2 linked regions of the Drosophila melanogaster genome follow. The protein of the gene in region 2 binds, or shares a complex with, the protein of the main gene of each other region. Each region holds a gene or a part of one and is shown on either strand. Other genes may lie near its edges.

What was found. Proteins that work in one complex are often made in the same cells at the same time.
Region 1: Nup54 (region 2) and Nup160 share a complex: the UniProt entries of both Drosophila melanogaster proteins name them as parts of the nuclear pore complex.

What each region holds. Positions count from the first base shown.
Region 1 is NT_033779.5:11,121,785-11,131,082, reverse strand, and holds Nup160 (nucleoporin 160kD), read right to left. Parts: upstream 7,307-9,298; 5' UTR 7,205-7,306; coding exon 7,108-7,204; intron 7,044-7,107; coding exon 6,941-7,043; intron 6,888-6,940; coding exon 6,396-6,887; intron 6,339-6,395; coding exon 6,157-6,338; intron 6,084-6,156; coding exon 5,674-6,083; intron 5,601-5,673; coding exon 4,934-5,600; intron 4,869-4,933; coding exon 4,763-4,868; intron 4,695-4,762; coding exon 4,533-4,694; intron 4,478-4,532; coding exon 4,235-4,477; intron 4,180-4,234; coding exon 4,061-4,179; intron 4,006-4,060; coding exon 3,391-4,005; intron 3,326-3,390; coding exon 2,804-3,325; intron 2,748-2,803; coding exon 2,350-2,747; intron 2,277-2,349; coding exon 2,157-2,276; 3' UTR 2,093-2,156; downstream 1-2,092. Other genes in the region: CG4751 (uncharacterized protein), read right to left, coding at 1-218; RfC38 (replication factor C 38kD subunit), read left to right, coding at 912-971, 1,082-2,092; Csl4, read left to right, coding at 7,613-7,771, 7,826-8,281. UniProt on the Drosophila melanogaster protein: Functions as a component of the nuclear pore complex (NPC). Involved in poly(A)+ RNA transport. Required for nuclear import of Mad. May play a role in double strand break DNA repair. Essential for nephrocyte development.
Region 2 is NT_033778.4:12,426,451-12,434,082, forward strand, and holds Nup54 (nucleoporin 54kD), read right to left. Parts: upstream 4,650-7,632; 5' UTR 4,487-4,649; coding exon 4,432-4,486; exon of another isoform or gene 4,410-4,431; coding exon of another isoform or gene 4,301-4,409; intron 4,240-4,300; coding exon of another isoform or gene 4,163-4,239; exon of another isoform or gene 4,145-4,162; intron 4,011-4,144; coding exon 3,504-4,010; intron 3,445-3,503; coding exon 3,078-3,444; intron 3,022-3,077; coding exon 2,460-3,021; intron 2,393-2,459; coding exon 2,051-2,392; 3' UTR 1,999-2,050; downstream 1-1,998. Other genes in the region: Dera (Deoxyribose-phosphate aldolase), read left to right, coding at 12-419; CG13154 (uncharacterized protein), read right to left, coding at 528-1,232, 1,294-1,329; CG43204 (uncharacterized protein), read left to right, coding at 4,163-4,239, 4,301-4,409; DUBAI (deubiquitinating apoptotic inhibitor), read right to left, coding at 5,893-6,471, 6,529-7,366, 7,625-7,632. UniProt on the Drosophila melanogaster protein: Component of the nuclear pore complex (NPC), a complex required for the trafficking across the nuclear envelope. Essential for the nuclear import of nuclear localization signal (NLS)-containing proteins in an importin alpha/importin beta-dependent manner.

The DNA.
Region 1 (9,298 bases), on a different chromosome or scaffold from region 2:
TCCACAGCTCCGGTCGTCGCTGGTGCACGCTCCCCCTCCTCCGCTTGCACCCCTTCGCCAACACAATCGTTTGTTATTTGCAGTGGCGGCGGCGGCGGCGGCTGCAGCACCTCCCCCTCCACTTCACCGTCACCATCACAGTCTCCCTCGCCATCGGAACTGCTCAGCACCTGGTTCTCGCCTGACTCGTCCACACCATGTTCCACTCCGTTCTCCATGCGTTCTTGTCGCGAATTCTGTGCAATTCTACGGATATTTTACTTCCAAGATACTTAAGTTTTGCGAAAAAAAACTGATGGATGCAGTAAGGTAGCTGCTTTTTCTACCCAGAATACCGAAACTCATTAAAACCGCCAACCCACGGTCACACTTGCTAGCGGTCCAATTTTAACCGGTAAAAACGGAGGAATGGCGTTGCCATACATAACATGAGAAGCATTGAATCGGTTATTTATTACAGAAACACAAGAAATGTTTTTGTTTTCAAATGTTTATTTATCATAAAAGAGTTCAAGTCTTTTAGGCATTTTCGTAATCATTTATTTTGAAATCCATTAATTTTACTTGTTTTATCGTTGGTTTTAGTCGTGGCACGAAAACAGTGTAAATGTAATAATATTACTTTAAAATTAATTTTAATTGTGATCTGTTAAAGTATTTAATTTTTTAAATCATTCAAGCCGAAATAATCATTTGAAAATATGTGCGTGGCAAATTTAATGAAACCTCTAAACATCGATATCACAGCGTAGAAATCGACAATAATCATCAAAAACATCGAAGCTTGCAGCATTACTAGAAATAGTCAGCGGAAAAGGCGCGCATTAAATTGTTTTGTTAAATTACTTTTACGGTCAGAAAGTAACTTAAAATACATCCAATTACTATCGTATTTTACATGCGTTAACGAAATGGCACTTTGGGTGGATAAATACCGTCCGCGGGAGCTGTCCAAATTGGACTTCCACAAGGTAAATCAGCGAGGAAACCGGCGCATACATCTATATAGCTGGCCCATATATTAAAGTATCTCTTTTTAAAAAGGTTTTTTATTTTATGATTTTTGCTAATTTCGATGCAGGATCAAGCGGAGAACCTACGCAACCTTTGCAAGCAGAGCGATTTTCCTCATCTGATGTTCTACGGACCCTCGGGTGCTGGCAAGAAGACACGCATCATGTGCCTGCTACGGGAGATGTACGGATCCGGCGTTGAGCGGTTGAGGAGCGAGACCATGACATTCACCACGCCATCCAATCGGAAGGTAGAGGTGATGACGGTCAGCAGCAACTACCACTTGGAGGTGAATCCCTCCGACGCTGGCATGTACGACCGCACGGTGGTGATCGATCTCATCAAGCAGGTGGCCCAGACGCATCAAATTGAGATTAGTGGCCAACGGGAATTCAAGGTGATTGTAATTTCGGAGGGCGACGAACTCACCAAGGATGCCCAGCACGCCCTGCGCCGTACGATGGAGAAATATGTGGCCACGTGCCGGATAATCATATCGGTGAACTCCACATCTCGGATCATTCCGGCCATACGGTCGCGTTGCCTGGGCATACGGGTGGCGGCTCCCAACGAAACGGAGATCGTGTCCATCTTGCAGAACACTTGCAAGCGGGAGGGACTCGCACTGCCCGTGGAGCTGGCCAAACGGGTTGTGGACAAGTCGGAGCGCAATCTCAGGCGAGCACTTTTGATGCTGGAGGCCGCCAAGGTGGCCAAGGCGCCGTTTACCGCCAATCAGGAGATTCCCGACCTGGACTGGCAGGTGTTCCTGCGTGAGACAGCATCTCAGATTATCAGTGAGCAAACGCCTGCCAAACTGGAGAAGATCCGCGAACGCCTGTACGAGCTACTCACGCAAGGCGTTCCACCTAATCTCATATTCCGCGGCCTGGTCGAACAGCTGGTTAACAATTGTGATATGTCCATCAAGGCAAAGACGCTCGAGTTCGCCACCGAGTACGAGCACCGGATGCAGTCCGGCGCCAAGCACATTTTTCATCTTGAAGCGTTCGTCGCTCAGTTTATGAACATCTATAAAAAGTTCCTTTCTGAGCTGGACATGACGGATGATTTTTAAACGATTTACACGCTTTAGCATTTAATTCAAAAAACTTATTAAATAAACTGATTTAAACGAACTATTAACGTTCTTCCTGAAGATCCGTTCGCATCTGCAGAACGGCCATGCTCATCTTATCATCGGTGGTGCGCTTTATGGTCTCAATATATCTTTGAACTTCTTCTTCGAGTTTAAAGTAAGCCTAAAATAGGAATAGATTTGGAATATGATTGGAATGTATTTTGAGTAGAACGAAATTTATATGTATGACTTACCATTTCATAATCAAGATCATCCTTGCCATTAATCTTTAAACCGTGCAGCAGCAAATCGATCGTGCTGATGGGGAAGCAGAGCTGTGGGTTTGCTATGTTCACCGCGTGTTTGAATTCGAAATACTCGCTACCTGCTCCCAGCATGCCGGCGATTATTTCACATCCCAGATCTGCGGCTTCCAGCAGACGATTGTGTTTCACAAGTAAGTGGAGCAGTTCCCGGGAGTGGGATAACTTGTAGGAGTTTATCAGCCACTGGGGCAAGAAGGCGTTTAACCCGAGAAGCCTTTGAACCACGCTCTTTCTTATCAAGGTGGAGTCTTTTGCCTCGTTATCCACAACCAGTTTTTGAAGTAAAGTCCAGGCCATATCGGCAGCATTACTTCGATGAGGTAGATCTGTTATAAGACATATAGTAAGCCTCTTTTTTTCATACACGTTAAAAAATCCCTACCTGCCATGTCGTTGTTTTGCAGCCAGTTCCAGGCGTCCGACGACTTGTCCTCAGTGGCAGCAACACAAGCGGATGTCAGACTCTCGAATATGGGGAGCACAGAGAACGAGTGTCCCCGCGAAAGTTTCAATGCCGCGGTGTACAGGCCGGAACTAGCCAGCAGGTATGATAGCTCCTCGGGTGTGGCCCGCTCGTAGGCAGCTGTATCTTTGCGGTAGAAGGAAAGCTCACGTAAAGCTTCTGCGTGCACCAGTTCCCTTCGGATATCAGCCAGCTCTAGAACAACCACCTCCTGGCCTCTCTTGTCCTCGTCACATTTGGGCTCACCATCGTCGTTATCCTGATCTATGGTAATCACCTGCTCATCACCAAGAACAGGCTTGGCAATCCATCTGTAGCGGCTGTCAACTAGGTGCAAACAGTTTAGGCAAATTAACAGCGAGGAGCAACGTTTCTCTAGCGCGTTTGGTGCATCGCTGTCTACTTGAAACCGCATGGCCTGCTCATACATAACCGTAGAAGCTGTTCGGAAACAAATTATTAATGCAAGAAGAAATGGAAGAAAATAAAGTAATTTTTATGCAAACCTTTTCTCATGTTACCCTTGTTCGTATGGAATGCATACAAAAAGTTGTAGACTTCGTTCTGATCGATGCTCATTGATCGTGCCCGGGATTCAACAATGCTCTCGAACTCGTCTTGCAACCCGATGTAGGAGAACTGCATAAGCAGTGGCAGACATTTATTCTGGAACAGCGTTATGACCAACTGGCGAAGGCAATCCTTACGCCTTGAAATATCTGCATTGTTGACTAAGGCGGTGTACGCCTCCACGTAGTGTCCCAACTGCAGATGATTATTGAACACTATTGACTGGAACATGGGCAACTGAGGATCATCTGGCTGCAGCACCCTAATGGCCATGTCAGCCAGTTGAATAATGTAGTCCAATGCGGAATGCTGTTCAAAGAGCTGGATAACCTTAAGATAGTAGTGAACAATTGCCAGTTTTGTGTCTTCGGGGGAAATTGTATCGCCACGGCTGACGCTATTCTGTAATTTGCCGTATAGAGGGGTATTTTTCAGTACATGCTCAAAGAGGAAGTCATCCTCCACAATGCCAGACTCCGCCTCGTGAAAGAGATGCACGGCCTTGTGGGCCTCACCGCAATCCAATAGAGATACGGCTAGCATAAAGCGTCCTGCGGAAAAAAAGGATTAATTTCAAAGCTGGGAAAACTAGCAAATAATGCATACTGGCATGTTTTTGTACGGAACACCAGTTTGACAAAATGCGCACGTAATCCTGAACAATGATGTGATGACAGGTCCCAAATAACCATTCCGGAAATACGTAAATCGGAGATCCCGGCCAACTAAGAGATGTTTGAAACTTAAAACATGATCAATTTTTCTATATATTATACGCACAGCATCTTATTGATGTATCCAACAAGTTGGAGCAAAGACTGGCGTAGATTCAATTGCTCCGAGTCCAGCGACAAACTGTCATGCTTCAGCAGCATAGTCAAGGCGCTGAACAGACCTTTCGATTCCAGGAACAGTCGGAGCAGAGTGGTCTGATCGTTCCCATTATGTTTCAGATGGCTGGAGTATGGTCGATTATAGCCGCTGAAAAGTTGGGCGCGGCTCAATCGTTGAATAGATGCCTCGCTAAAATTAAAATAGAAGTTAGAACTGTGCAATACAATCAATTATATATCCTTACAATCCAGCTGGGGTACTCGATGAAATGGGTGTCTCGGCAATCCAAACCAGTGTATAATATGAGTTCAAATAATTTAAATTTGTTAAAACATTTTCGCTTTCCATTTCGTTCTGACCATAAGCCATGTACTGCAATACCAAAAGGTTTCGGCAAACAGAAAACCTAGGGACACATGATTTAATAAATGATAAACCAAGTTCAAAGTTTTTTAAACTATTACGAAAGCTCACCGTATCATTGCCATTTGCTTCACTGTTTCGGACAAAATAGAAAGTCCATATTCGCTACCCATTAGAGCCCCAGACGACTGCAAGAAGCGCGTAGAAAGGGAGTAATCTATAAAGTAGAAATGAAATATATGAATCATTTTCAAACATTATATATATTTATAAGTAATTTACCATGCGGCGGTTCATCTGGATCAATCATACACAGCACATCGAGCAGCATTTCCAAAGCGGGTTCAAGATTTGGTATATTCTGCAGCTTCTGTTGGATTTGCCTCACACAGTTTGATGGCAATATTGGACCATTATCATCGATCATACTGATTCTAGCCACCAGCTTAGATATTACTTCAACCGGTGACTCCCGCTGGTAAAGCTGTTTATCTAGCTCGATTTTAATGTCCTCCGAAATTAGTTTATCAAGCAGTGTCACCACATTCATGAGCTCCACAAAACCCTTGGCCATTTCGGGATCGTTGCGAAATAGTGGCGCCACATATGTCGCCACTTCATCGTTATGCTCGCCGATGAGCAACAGGTGCTCGAGCACTTCGCAGGGGCGCAGCAATGCGAATGATTGCCTTCTAACCAAACATACTGCATCCATTCCACCAAGAACGGCGAGTCCTGTCGGCTCGGAAAGCTTAATGTGATACTGTTCGCAGCAGGAGTAAAAGCGATCCCACAGCCGAGTGGATATCTCCAAGTACTCCTCATCGGTGACCACAAAGTCTTTCAGTTCGTTTTGGATTTCATCTTCCACGGCCTGGCATACCTGCTCCTTGAGCACTGACATGGAAAGTTGCTTTACATCGAATTGCAGGTTAACGCGTCTGAACATCTACGATACAAAAAATTCAAATTACTAAACTATTCCAATAATTCATAATAAAGAATGTTTTGGTTATACTCACATATAAAGCCTTGGCAATTACATTTCGGTCAAATCGACCAGGATGAAATATATAGCTGCAGTAAGTTTCGCGTGGATCCACTCCCTGCTCCATGGTGAGACAATACCGATCCGGTGGCGGTTCTAGAGCAGCCGAAACCCATTTGATTGCGTTGTTGGAGGCAAAATATGCTGCCGAGACATGGAAATCGCCTTCAGCGTTGCTCCAAAGGGCCCAGATGTGCGAGGATGTGGCATCGAAGTCGACCAAATCCGTTTGCGGCGCCGGCACCATGTTCTGCACCAAATTGATAACGCTGGCATCGTCGGCATCGGGCATTATGCTAACGCATATAAACTCAGCTCGGGAATTGTGCGAGAGAAATAGACAGAAGTTTTGATCGCTTATTTTTCGGAGCTGGCTGTTTTGTGCTGTTAAAAAAAAGAATATAATCCCATTATATCTAGATCATAAATCTAAATCGTAATAATATTTTATACTCACGTCCTTGAGCTGCTGAGTCCTGTCCCAGTTCGGTGGAGCAGTTAATGCTGGCTACAGTCTGCAAGTTATCCACTGACCATAGACGCAGCTCATTATTGCGATACAGAACCAGAATGAAAATTTCCCCCCCGATTTCACTGAAAGCCATGGACGTGGCTGCCTCCAACGTTTCAGAGCGGCCGCTACAATGATTAATGAAACATTAGGGATTTGCCATTTATCGAGGTTTATCCACTTACGTGAGGGCACCCTTGAGATTCGACAGAAACCATGGCATTAGCTTCGGCTCCTTGATTTCGTGGGTGATAGTATGGCCGGTGGAGCATTTCATAACGTGAAGCAGTAGTTTGCTCTGATACGCCACCGCAAAGTAGGCTGACTGGGAGTCTTGAGTGAGGTACGATACAGCCGCGTTGGGCATAGTTCCAAAGCCATCCGTGACATAGTAAGTGCTGGGATCATTGATCTTGTCATTGACGTCGTAGAAAATGGACTGGGATAGCAGATCCTCTGGAGAAGCTGCGCCACCTTCCTGCCCAGCGACCTTCAAGGGAAACACATAGCGATGCACACTGCTGACCGTGACCACCAGCAGGGTGACGGATGTACCTTGCTCCGTGAGTGATACATTCAGCACAGCGGAGTCGGTGAATCGCAGACGCAGGTGATTCCTCTGCAGGGAGATGTCCAAACTAACCTCTGATAGTTCCAGGACATCCTGGTATGTCCGCCTGCAAATCAGTGGCCATGTGAAACTAATTTAACGATTCTGATTTGCACTTACCAATATATGAAACGGTTTCTGGTCTGAACATTTTTCGTATTCTTGTAGCAATAGCCGCCGGAGGTTTCGAAGGTTTTTAAATCCTGCAAAGTGCTCTGGGTTCCTACATTTTGCGGAGGAGCATTTGGTTACTCAGAATTTCTCTGGCAATCTTGCACGAAACTCACCCGTGTTAATTTTCACCTCGATCCACTCCGCCGGACTGAGGTTCCGCGGTATGACCTCGCGGTAGCTCATGTTGGCTTGCAGTTTGGATGTGGGCATCTTGCTAGCACAACAAATTAATATAAAAACCTCAACGAAAACGGAAAATTATTGGCGGCACCGGCGTAAACACGCTCAGTAGTAGTGTTGGAAAACGCTTACGCCAGCGGTGCACACCAGGCAAAATAGTCGACATAGCTTTTTATACTCACATACAAAAGTTAATTACAGAAGTTAGTTAAAAATTGTACATTTTCCTAAATGTAATTTCATGACAATAAAGTTTATTATAGCAAAGCAGGAATGATATAAGATGCCTTTAAATCTTGTGATATTAAGAAAGTTGTCGCTAGCATTTTAACAATTGCCACATATTGGTCACACTGCATTGCACGTGTGTTTCCATTTGTTGATGCGGCTTTATTATTTAGTTTATTTTTTAAAATAAAAACTGTCTCTGGCCTAAAAATGAGTGAACAGCAGGATGAGACTGTAGTCTGCCTGCCCGGGGAGCGACTCTGCAGAACCGAGGACAGCATAGTCCTGGGCATAGGCACCTACGAGCAGAATGGCTACATTTACGCCTCCAAGTCTGGAATTGTCAACATCGAAGATTCGGGTGATAAAGTAAGTAATCCTGGCATTTCGTTGACTCTGGGAACCAATTAATCTCCATTTCAGTGCCAGGTGGTTAGTGTGCATAAGCCCGGATTTCATCTAACCATCCCAGCCACCGGAGACGTGGTCACAGCCAGAGTTCTCGTCACAACTCCAAAATTCGCCAAGTGCGCCATTTTCTGCGTACGAAATGTGCTGCTGGAAAGCAGCTACCGCGGACTTCTGCGCAAGGAGGATGTCCGGGAGACCGAAAAAGATCGCGTCGATATCTACAAGTCCTTCCGGCCGGGCGATGTCATCCTGGCGAGGGTCATTAACCAACTGGAGCAGTCCTTCCTCCTGACCACCGCCGAAAATGAACTCGGCGTGGTCATCGCCTATGCCAGTGATTACCGGAAGACCCGGGTGCCCATGGTGCCGGTCGGCTGGAGCGAGATGCAGTGCCCCCAGACCACGATCAAGGAGCCACGGAAAGTGGCTAAAGTTCTGCCTGAGAGTTCAATAAATGCTGTGAAATAAGGTCAATCGCATGTTAATCAGAAGCTTAAATTCATTTGTGGAACTAAAAATGTTTTAGTAAGTGATTATTAGCCAAATAATTATATGTCTTGGCAACCAGAGGACGCTGAATATGGATACAGGTTTATGTTAGCATTTTATTTCCATAGCAACGTTGATAAGTAGCTATTTGACAGTTTACATTATTTCAAATCATTAAATAAATCTATAATTAAGTTGTAAAAGTTCAAAACAAGCTGGTTTCCATAGTTTAGCTTTTATGATTGATACGTATCTTATATTTGTTATTTATTCATGATTGGTTTGTTATAATGATTCAACAAGAGATTAGAATTTAATATTGGATCGTCATGCAATTGCTGTTTTTAAAAGTATCTCTATAGATTCGAAAGTCATGGGAATAGATTAAAGAAATTGTGCGGTAATTTGTTCTAGCAACTTAACAAAACATATTTTATGTTTAAAATAATTCATAAACACAAGGTAATCTAAATATATGCAGGCACATGCACTTTATAGGTTGGCAACATAAAAACTTTTAGGGTAAACGACAGGTACTTATTCCAAGTAATCCGAATTTCAATAACATGCAATTGCACGTGTTCCCAAAAAAAAAAATATATAATCATAAAGGCAAATAGATGGTTGTAAAGGCTCAGGCGTCAGAGGCGTAAAAACCCGTAGCCCGTTGCCAATCAATGTCGCTGGGAGCTGTTGTTGATGGATGACTATTCCTATGCAAATAGCAAATGGAAGTTCGTTTCGCGTGCAGGAGCCGCGACTAATTCAATCAGAGGAGCGGGAGCAGGCAGCCTGGAGCAATGAGCTGCTCCGGGACTAGGCCACCGTGTCTTGTCTTGCCGAAGAAATGCAAATGCATAGGAAAAGTTACAGGTGGATCGGTGGGCAGGGAGCTTAGCGAGTCCTGGGGGATCCAAACAACCAATCATTGTTTGGTCGATGGGAAACGCAGTCGGTTTGTTTCGGTGGTTCGAAGCCCGGTTAATATTCAAATTA
Region 2 (7,632 bases):
AATTTCTTTAGGTTTACAAAGCAGCCATGGTTTGCATGATGGCCGGAGCGGATTTTATCAAGACCTCAACGGGAAAGGAGACAGTCAACGCCACCCTGCCCGTTGGCCTGGTCATGATATTTGCCATTCAGGAATTCAAACGACGCACGTGCCAGATTGTGGGCCTTAAGCCAGCCGGAGGAGTAAAGACTGTACGAGATGCGATCGCCTGGATGACGTTGGTCAACGAAACTCTTGGCATCCGCTGGTTGCGTCCCGAGAGGTTCCGTTTCGGAGCCTCCGGATTGCTGGACGACATTGAACGCGTTGTGCGTCAGGGTGTCAAAAAACTCGAGGAGGATGAGGCTCAGAAAAATGTGCCCGTGTCTCGCGAGGCTGCTGCTGCCGAGACCTTCTGCAAGGAGCTGCGGAAGAAGTAGGAGGAGGCCAACTGGTCGAATCCGTATTCTGGACTTTACTCACTCTAAGTGCATTTATTGTAGCTTTTTTATACAACTGACTAAAACCTATAGCAAAAAAAACCGCATCTATGTTCGACGTTCTTCCTGGACGGGAGACTTGAAGTTAAAGGCTAACTGCGCAGGAGCCGCCATCAAATCTTCCTCGGCCTGCTCTTCGCCATGCTGCAAGAGCTCTGTGGGCGCAGCTGGCTCCTTGTGGGGCTGATTATCCGGAATCTTTACCTGCATGTCCACCGCAAAGAAGGAGTCGTCGAAGTTTATTCGGTTGCGCTCGTCCTGCTCCAGATACATGGCTTTGGGCGCAGTTGCTCCGCCCATGGCCCTCTCGTAGGTGTTAAGCCACTTGAGATTGAGGTTGATGTGCTTGTTGGCAGCGTTAAACTTCTTTGGCTTCTTTTTTGGCTTTTCCGCGTAGTAGTTGTGCTCCGTCTTTTGCGGCGGAGGAGCAATCTTCTCCAGCATTCGGCTCTTGGCATCCAGCTTGGGCTCCACGAAGTCGTATAGAGGTAAATAGAAGTTATACGGCTGCTCCGTTGGCGGCAGCATTCGCTGCTGCGGCTGCACTTGCTCCTGCACCTGACTACTGGCCTCCGCCATGGCATCTTCCTCTAGAGCCGGACCAAAGATTTCCCCAGCACGCCGCAGCAAATTCTCTAAACGCTCTATGGTGATGATGTGGGGATGGATAAGCTGGACATCGTCGTGCAGCTGTGCCCGCCGAGCTGTCGGTGGTTTGGCCACCACGCTGCAGCAAAAGGCGCACAAAAACAACTGCAAGGATGTGAAAACTTAGTCCGATTTTCGCATTGAGCGGTCAAGCCAAACAACTCACAACCAATAAACCATTCATGTCCAATTTAATTCCCATAGCTCTGAACGTTTCACTTTCAGCTCCTCATATGCAGTGCTCCAATTGAACCACCTTCACTTTCTTAGATCTGAAACGATGTGAGGCCTCCTTGGAGCTGGCCAATTCATTTATACTGGCGCTACATGCTCCAAACGGAAGCTCGGAAGTCTCCGCCATCAATGGCCAACAAAAAACCTGCACGGACCCTGGCTGGCTGGTTGACTGGGAGAAAACTAGTTTCCCACACAAGAAATAAATATGTAACGAGCCAACTAACTAGACTGCACATGTATGCACACGCCAGAGCACATAATAATGTTAATGTAACAACGATGGTGATACCGATGCTGGGAGTTGAACAAACTGGAACTGCCAGAGACGAACCGTTTGCCACTCATAATGAGTCCGAGCGATTGCCTTCTGCCTAGCCGTCGAAATTGGACAATTTCAGACAGTGGCCGAGGAAAAGTCGGGCGGTCCAAGAGCTGTGCGGTGCAAGTGCATTGACCCACACAATTATTTCCGCAGCATTGGCGACGAATGTGTGAACTCGTTTCGATTGTTTCGACTCCATTGCCCGTAAAAGTGCAAGTTCAAAGCTACAGGAAATGCTAAACGACGACATAATGGCAAAAGTGTAACGGCCACAACTTGTTCGTTGTCTCGATCATCGAAAATCACCGGGTTGTGTTACACATATGTGGGTTTTATTCAACGTATCAGCTCATTTCCATTCCTATCACGATTGTCGCAGCTCGGGCAGTCCTTTAATTATAACATCCAGCGCCCTCAGGTCCTTGTTGACGGTATCGCTCAGCACCTCCATGGCGCGCTGCTGCATCGTCAGAAAGGTCTTCATCTCGTCCTCCGCTTCCTTGTCGAGGGCATACTCGGCACCACCGTTGGCTGCGAATTGATTGCGCTGCATGCGCATCTGGGAGAGGAGCTCGCTGAGTCGGCCCTTGAATTGGGTGGGTGCGGAGACGACAGCCAGCATGTTCTGTAGCTTGGTGCGCAAGGCCTCCTCCTCGGGCGTCAGGGAAGTGCCCACCTTGCGGGTGCACTCTTGTTTCACTATTATCTGTGGTTGAAAAATGCGGATTTCTGAATGTAAAAATAAAGTTGGGTATTTAACTAGGTGTCCCTACCCTTAGTATGCGATGACTGAGCTCGGCCAGTTTCCGTTTATGTTCAAGTATCTTCGCTGTGGCAGTGGCATGGCGCTTCTTGAGTTCTGTCAGCTCACTCTCCACCTTCTTTATGTACAATGCATGCGTGTCCGTTTCTTGTTCCTGACACTTAACGCGCCACTTTAAGTCGTTAAAGCCCACCATGGGCACTGGTATATATAAAGTTGGATCTGGATTGTCGGAATTGGCCTGACGCCACATGCGCGGATCCACGCCGCGGGGTGGATTTTCAAGGTACTCCCTCAATTGATCTTCGTCGGGTAATACCAGAGCCAAAGCCTCCACAACACCTAGATTATTGAGCTGTGGTTTCAGCGTCGCCTGATTAAGGTAGTTTGAGAGTTCGGTGGCAAGTATACGCTTGCTTTCGTTGGGAGCATGTTGAAGTTTCTCCTCGACATAAATAACAATTTGGCACTTTTTGTTCTCCAACTCCTTGATGGAATCTATGTGAACAAGCATGTTGGGCTTGCTGCCGAATAAACTGTGAAGCGTTTGAATCACTTGTTGCTGGTGTGGCCTAAAATAAAATGAATTAATACCTATGCCATGATGTAGACAAGCACTAAGACTTACTTGACAGCTGAGAGTTCTCTGCAGAAGTTAAGAGCCACCAGTCCCAACTTGTTATCCTTGCCCGGCATACGACTGTAGCCTATGGCCTTGAACCGGCACATCACGTTCTCCGGCGTAATGTCTACCGGTGCCGCACTCTGGGAGTAAAACATTTTCCCAGTGCCCCACGTAGCCTGCAAGTAGTTCCATTTGGCCACTATTTTGTCCCGTTCATCCCCGAAAATGGATACATTCAGAATGGATTGGGCAAACGCCTCGTCAGCCGATATGGGCGCTGGCTGCTGTTGCGGCTGTCCAAGCATAAAACTGGTGCCTCCGAATCCACCAAATCCCGGCGTAACTGTTGTATTCGCTGGTTTTCCGAACGCTGAAACATAAACCAGGTTAGGAATACCACAGAAAGACAAATGGGCTTATTTAACTTACTGGATCCGAAGGCTCCGCCCCCAAAGCCAGTGGACTGGCTGGTGCCAAAGCCACCAAAAGCAGGTGCCGACGTTGTGGTTGTGCCAAAGCCTGAAAATCCACTTGCTGGCGCTGTACTCGCAGCTGCCTGTTGGCCGAATCCGCTAAAAGCTGGTGGTGCTGCACTAGTCGCTGGAGCGCCGAACAGACCGGCCTGACTTGTTGCCGGAGCTGCTCCAAATCCGCCGAAACCGCCTCCTCCCAAACCCGTGCCCGCAGTTGTGGTTGTCGCCGCACCAAATGCCGGAGTACTGCCAAAGGCGGAGCCGCCAAAGGCAGAAGTTCCTGTGGCGGCTCCAAAAGCCGGGGCTGCAGCGGTTGCTCCAAAGGCGGAACCTGCTCCGAAGGCAGAAGTCGCCGGTTGGGCGCCAAAAGCCGGAGTCGATGTGGCCTGTGCTCCGAAAGCGGGTGCTGGCTGGCTGGTTGCAGCTGTGCCTCCAAACGGCGATCCGAAGAGGCCACCGGTTGCTGAACAAAAGAGATAAGAAGACCAGAAATGGGTCAGTGTTTTGAAAACTATGCTTCTGCCTTGGATTCTTATCTGAGATTTCGGGTTCCAAAATACTACAGAAGCTGCCCTTAGTTTGCTTCAAGCTCTGGTCGCCTGCTGGTCGTGGAAAATGGCTCTGGTTTTTATATTGCTGATCCTCCTGCTAGGTTTTGTGGGATACGTCGCCTATGTGGTCCACAAGAAGGGGTGAGCATCTTTGTCTGGCCACATAAGAACACTGACACCATGTAGCCCGTCCCACATCCAGCATAGATCCCAAAGACATCCGCATCCACAGCCTGCAGGACGCCAAGAAGCTGCTGAAGCCTCCACCAAGTGGAAATGGACCCCACAAATATTTGGAGAAAAGGGCATGAGGTCTTGTTTACGGAAACTCACTTTTGGCCGGCGTGCTTGTTGCTCCCAGCGACGTGTTGGATCCGAAGAACGACATGATGCGGTATTCTCAAGGACGTTACTTTGCCGCACAGTTTGGGTTGCCTTTCCTAGGGGCCGGAATTTGTACAATTCTATTTTATTGTAATAAAATTAGTCTTAATCCTAATAAACGTAAAATTTTGGCGCTTTCTAGCAGTGTTACCAGATTGTAAATGGGCTCTCACCCTTGCTGACAACAACACTTGAATTTCCCTTATTAATTTGGTAACACTGCCGCGCGGTCTAAATTATCGATAGTCTTAGGCCCGACTTTTGATTATTAGTACGCTATAATTTGAAATTTGGCGGCAAGAAAATCAATTCGCCACTTCAATAATCCTGTCAAGTTTTTAATTCTAGTTTACGCCTCCTCTCTAATGTTTGAACTGAATATAATATCCTCCTTTCTGATCATTGCTTTTCTTTTTGATATAGTAACTTCCATGAATGGATACTATTTTTGTTGTTTTCACATTAAACTCTTTCGTGACTCTAATAATTAAACACTCTTTGGGCTTGTTCTTTTCTTTATTGATACACTTATAGCATAGCATAGTATAGATTTTGGTTATCAATAGACATACACCATATACAAATTTCCTTGAAATTATTCCAATTTAATTGCAATAACGTTCAAAATTCATCGCAACCTCTGCTCACCAGATCCAAAGAGATACATTTATATATATCAATTACAAATTCGTGTCGCACATGCGCAAATTTTTTGAAATTTGCTAAAATTAACAGTGAAACTAATAATACGATCCGAGGGTTATAGCCCGATCTATAAACGATCTCGATCTATACAAGTCAATGCCGCGATTATCTTGTTTTGTAGCTTCTTGCTAGTTCGATTGCAACTCGAGATATGATTTAATTTCGAGCTGTGCGTTAAAAACTAGGGTGCAGACATTATTTCTGGTTTAGTGTTTTGGAAGTTAGTGGTCTTCGGATTCAAGTATATCGCTCCTATTTCTGGCTAATTCTATTGTTTTTTTTTTTTTTTAATTTTTATAATTAAATATGTTTGTGTTCGCATATATGCACGTTCTACAACTAGGTTTGTGTTAACAAAAACAAAAAAATTATAACAATTTTGTAAATGGAAATACAATAATAGTTTGCGTTCGTATGAGTGGATGAGTATAATGATTTTTGGGGCAACGGGCCGAAGGATCAAGGAGAAAAGGAAGAAACAATTTAGAAAACATCGACAACAACTCAAGGAGGTAGCGAACAAGCGATCGGTAAGCGCGTTTCTCATACACTTCGATATACGTAGGCGCATATATCTCGATTGGTTGTGAACGTGCTATATATATATGTATGTAACATTTCGATTAGTATGCGCGTGTTTCATAAAGTAGACAAGTATATGTTCTAGTGGCCTCCGGTGTGCTCGCTATCCTGGCTGTCGCTTTCTCAGAAGACGAAGCGGTTGATGTTCATGCCCAGTCCATTGCCTCCACATCCTCCGGGCGGCGGCGGCGCCTTGTCGTCCTCGTCACCATCGCCATCAAAGTTGTGCCGGCTGACAAACGCATTGCCGTGACCGCTGTTGCCACGCTTAAAGCGTTGCATCTTCAACTCTTCGTTGTAAACATGGTTGTCCTTTCTTACGTAGTCGCGAAGTCGGCGTGGCAACTCCTCCAGCTTCAGAGGCGGCGACAGTGGCACCGAGACCACCTGGTCATTTGAGCCCGATACCATACTCGAACTGCAGCTGGCCGTAACCGAATTAGACTCATTGGAGTGGCCGCACATCTTGTAGAACAGGATGTAGGGCGTGTTGGGCGAAGTGAGATTGTGCATCTCCTCCGGCTTGGAGTGGGTAACCACGTTATCGTTGAACTTGTACCAATTCTTGGCTTGATCCGCCGCGAACGTAAAGTAGTGACCGGAATCCATGCTGTACCCGGCGTGAACAACACCCGCATACAGATCATAGTGCACAGTGGACATCTCCTGCAGCGAGTCCTTTGCCGACATTTTTACTGTGACCTAGCGTGCGAAATGGTTAGCTAAACTTGTAGCGGAGAAATTCGCTGCGATACTTACGCTCTCATCGTGGAACACCTTATGCATGAGCTTGGTGCGGAAGTGGTACTTCTGATCGTACTTGAACTGCTTGAGCGTGAGAATAAGGTTCTTCGGTGCCTGGGTGACCCCGATGTGGCGCTCCGCATCGCAAAGCTTCTTGCATTGTGGACAGAAATATTGATTGTCACCGTCCAGCTTCTCGGGCGAGCAGTAGTACTCGATCAGATCCTGCACCGAGTAGTTGGTGGCTCCACAGTCTTCCTTATCATCGGGAAAAGACAGCTGCAGCTCGCGAAAGCTGTCCTCGTTCCGGCTCTCCCAGCCGCAGTTTAAACATCGATAGGTGGTGGAAAGCTTGCCAGCGAACGTCTTGTCAATGGTAGATGGTGGCTTCGCCTGATCAACCTGCTGGCCCTGCTGCTTTAAGCCGTTGGTGGCTTTGGTGGGAGTCGCGGGTGGTGTCGGTGTGGGCTTGTGATTACAATTGTCACTGTTGCTTCCACTGCTGAGCTCGTGATCCTTGCTGTTGTACGGAATAACGCCGCTCGACAATATATCCTCGCTCAGCAGTGCGGGCACGTCGTCCACTTCCCTGCCGGTCTTCGGAGGACCAACACTGTGACCAGTGACTGAGGAGCTGTTGATCTCGTGCTCGTGCAGCAGGTCGAGCAGATATCCTAGGAACTCGGAGCTGTCCTGTTGTAGGCCGGGCGTGAAGCTAGGCGGCCGGGTGGCGTTCAGCACTCGCGAAGGCGTTAGTTCGTAGCGCAGCGAGTGATGCATCAGGGCAATCTGCTGCTGCACTTTCATGAGCAGCACTGAATTGCACTCGATAAGCAGGATTTGCCTGCTAAAACTGCAAATGGAAAATGAGTATATGTAGTTGTAAGAAGATAAATAAAGCCAATAAGCTTCGTAATCGTAATTATTTTCGTAATCGGAAATTGACACCTAAAACAGATTTATAAACAGTGAGCTCTTAAACAAAAGGTGCTGGCAAGGCAATGCAAATATAGAACCGAGTTTTAATCATAAATATGAGGCAAAGATATTATTTTGCGCTTCTACTTTGGGGAAATTAGAAGTGGGGTTTCTTCATTTGATCTTTACTTACTCGCTGGT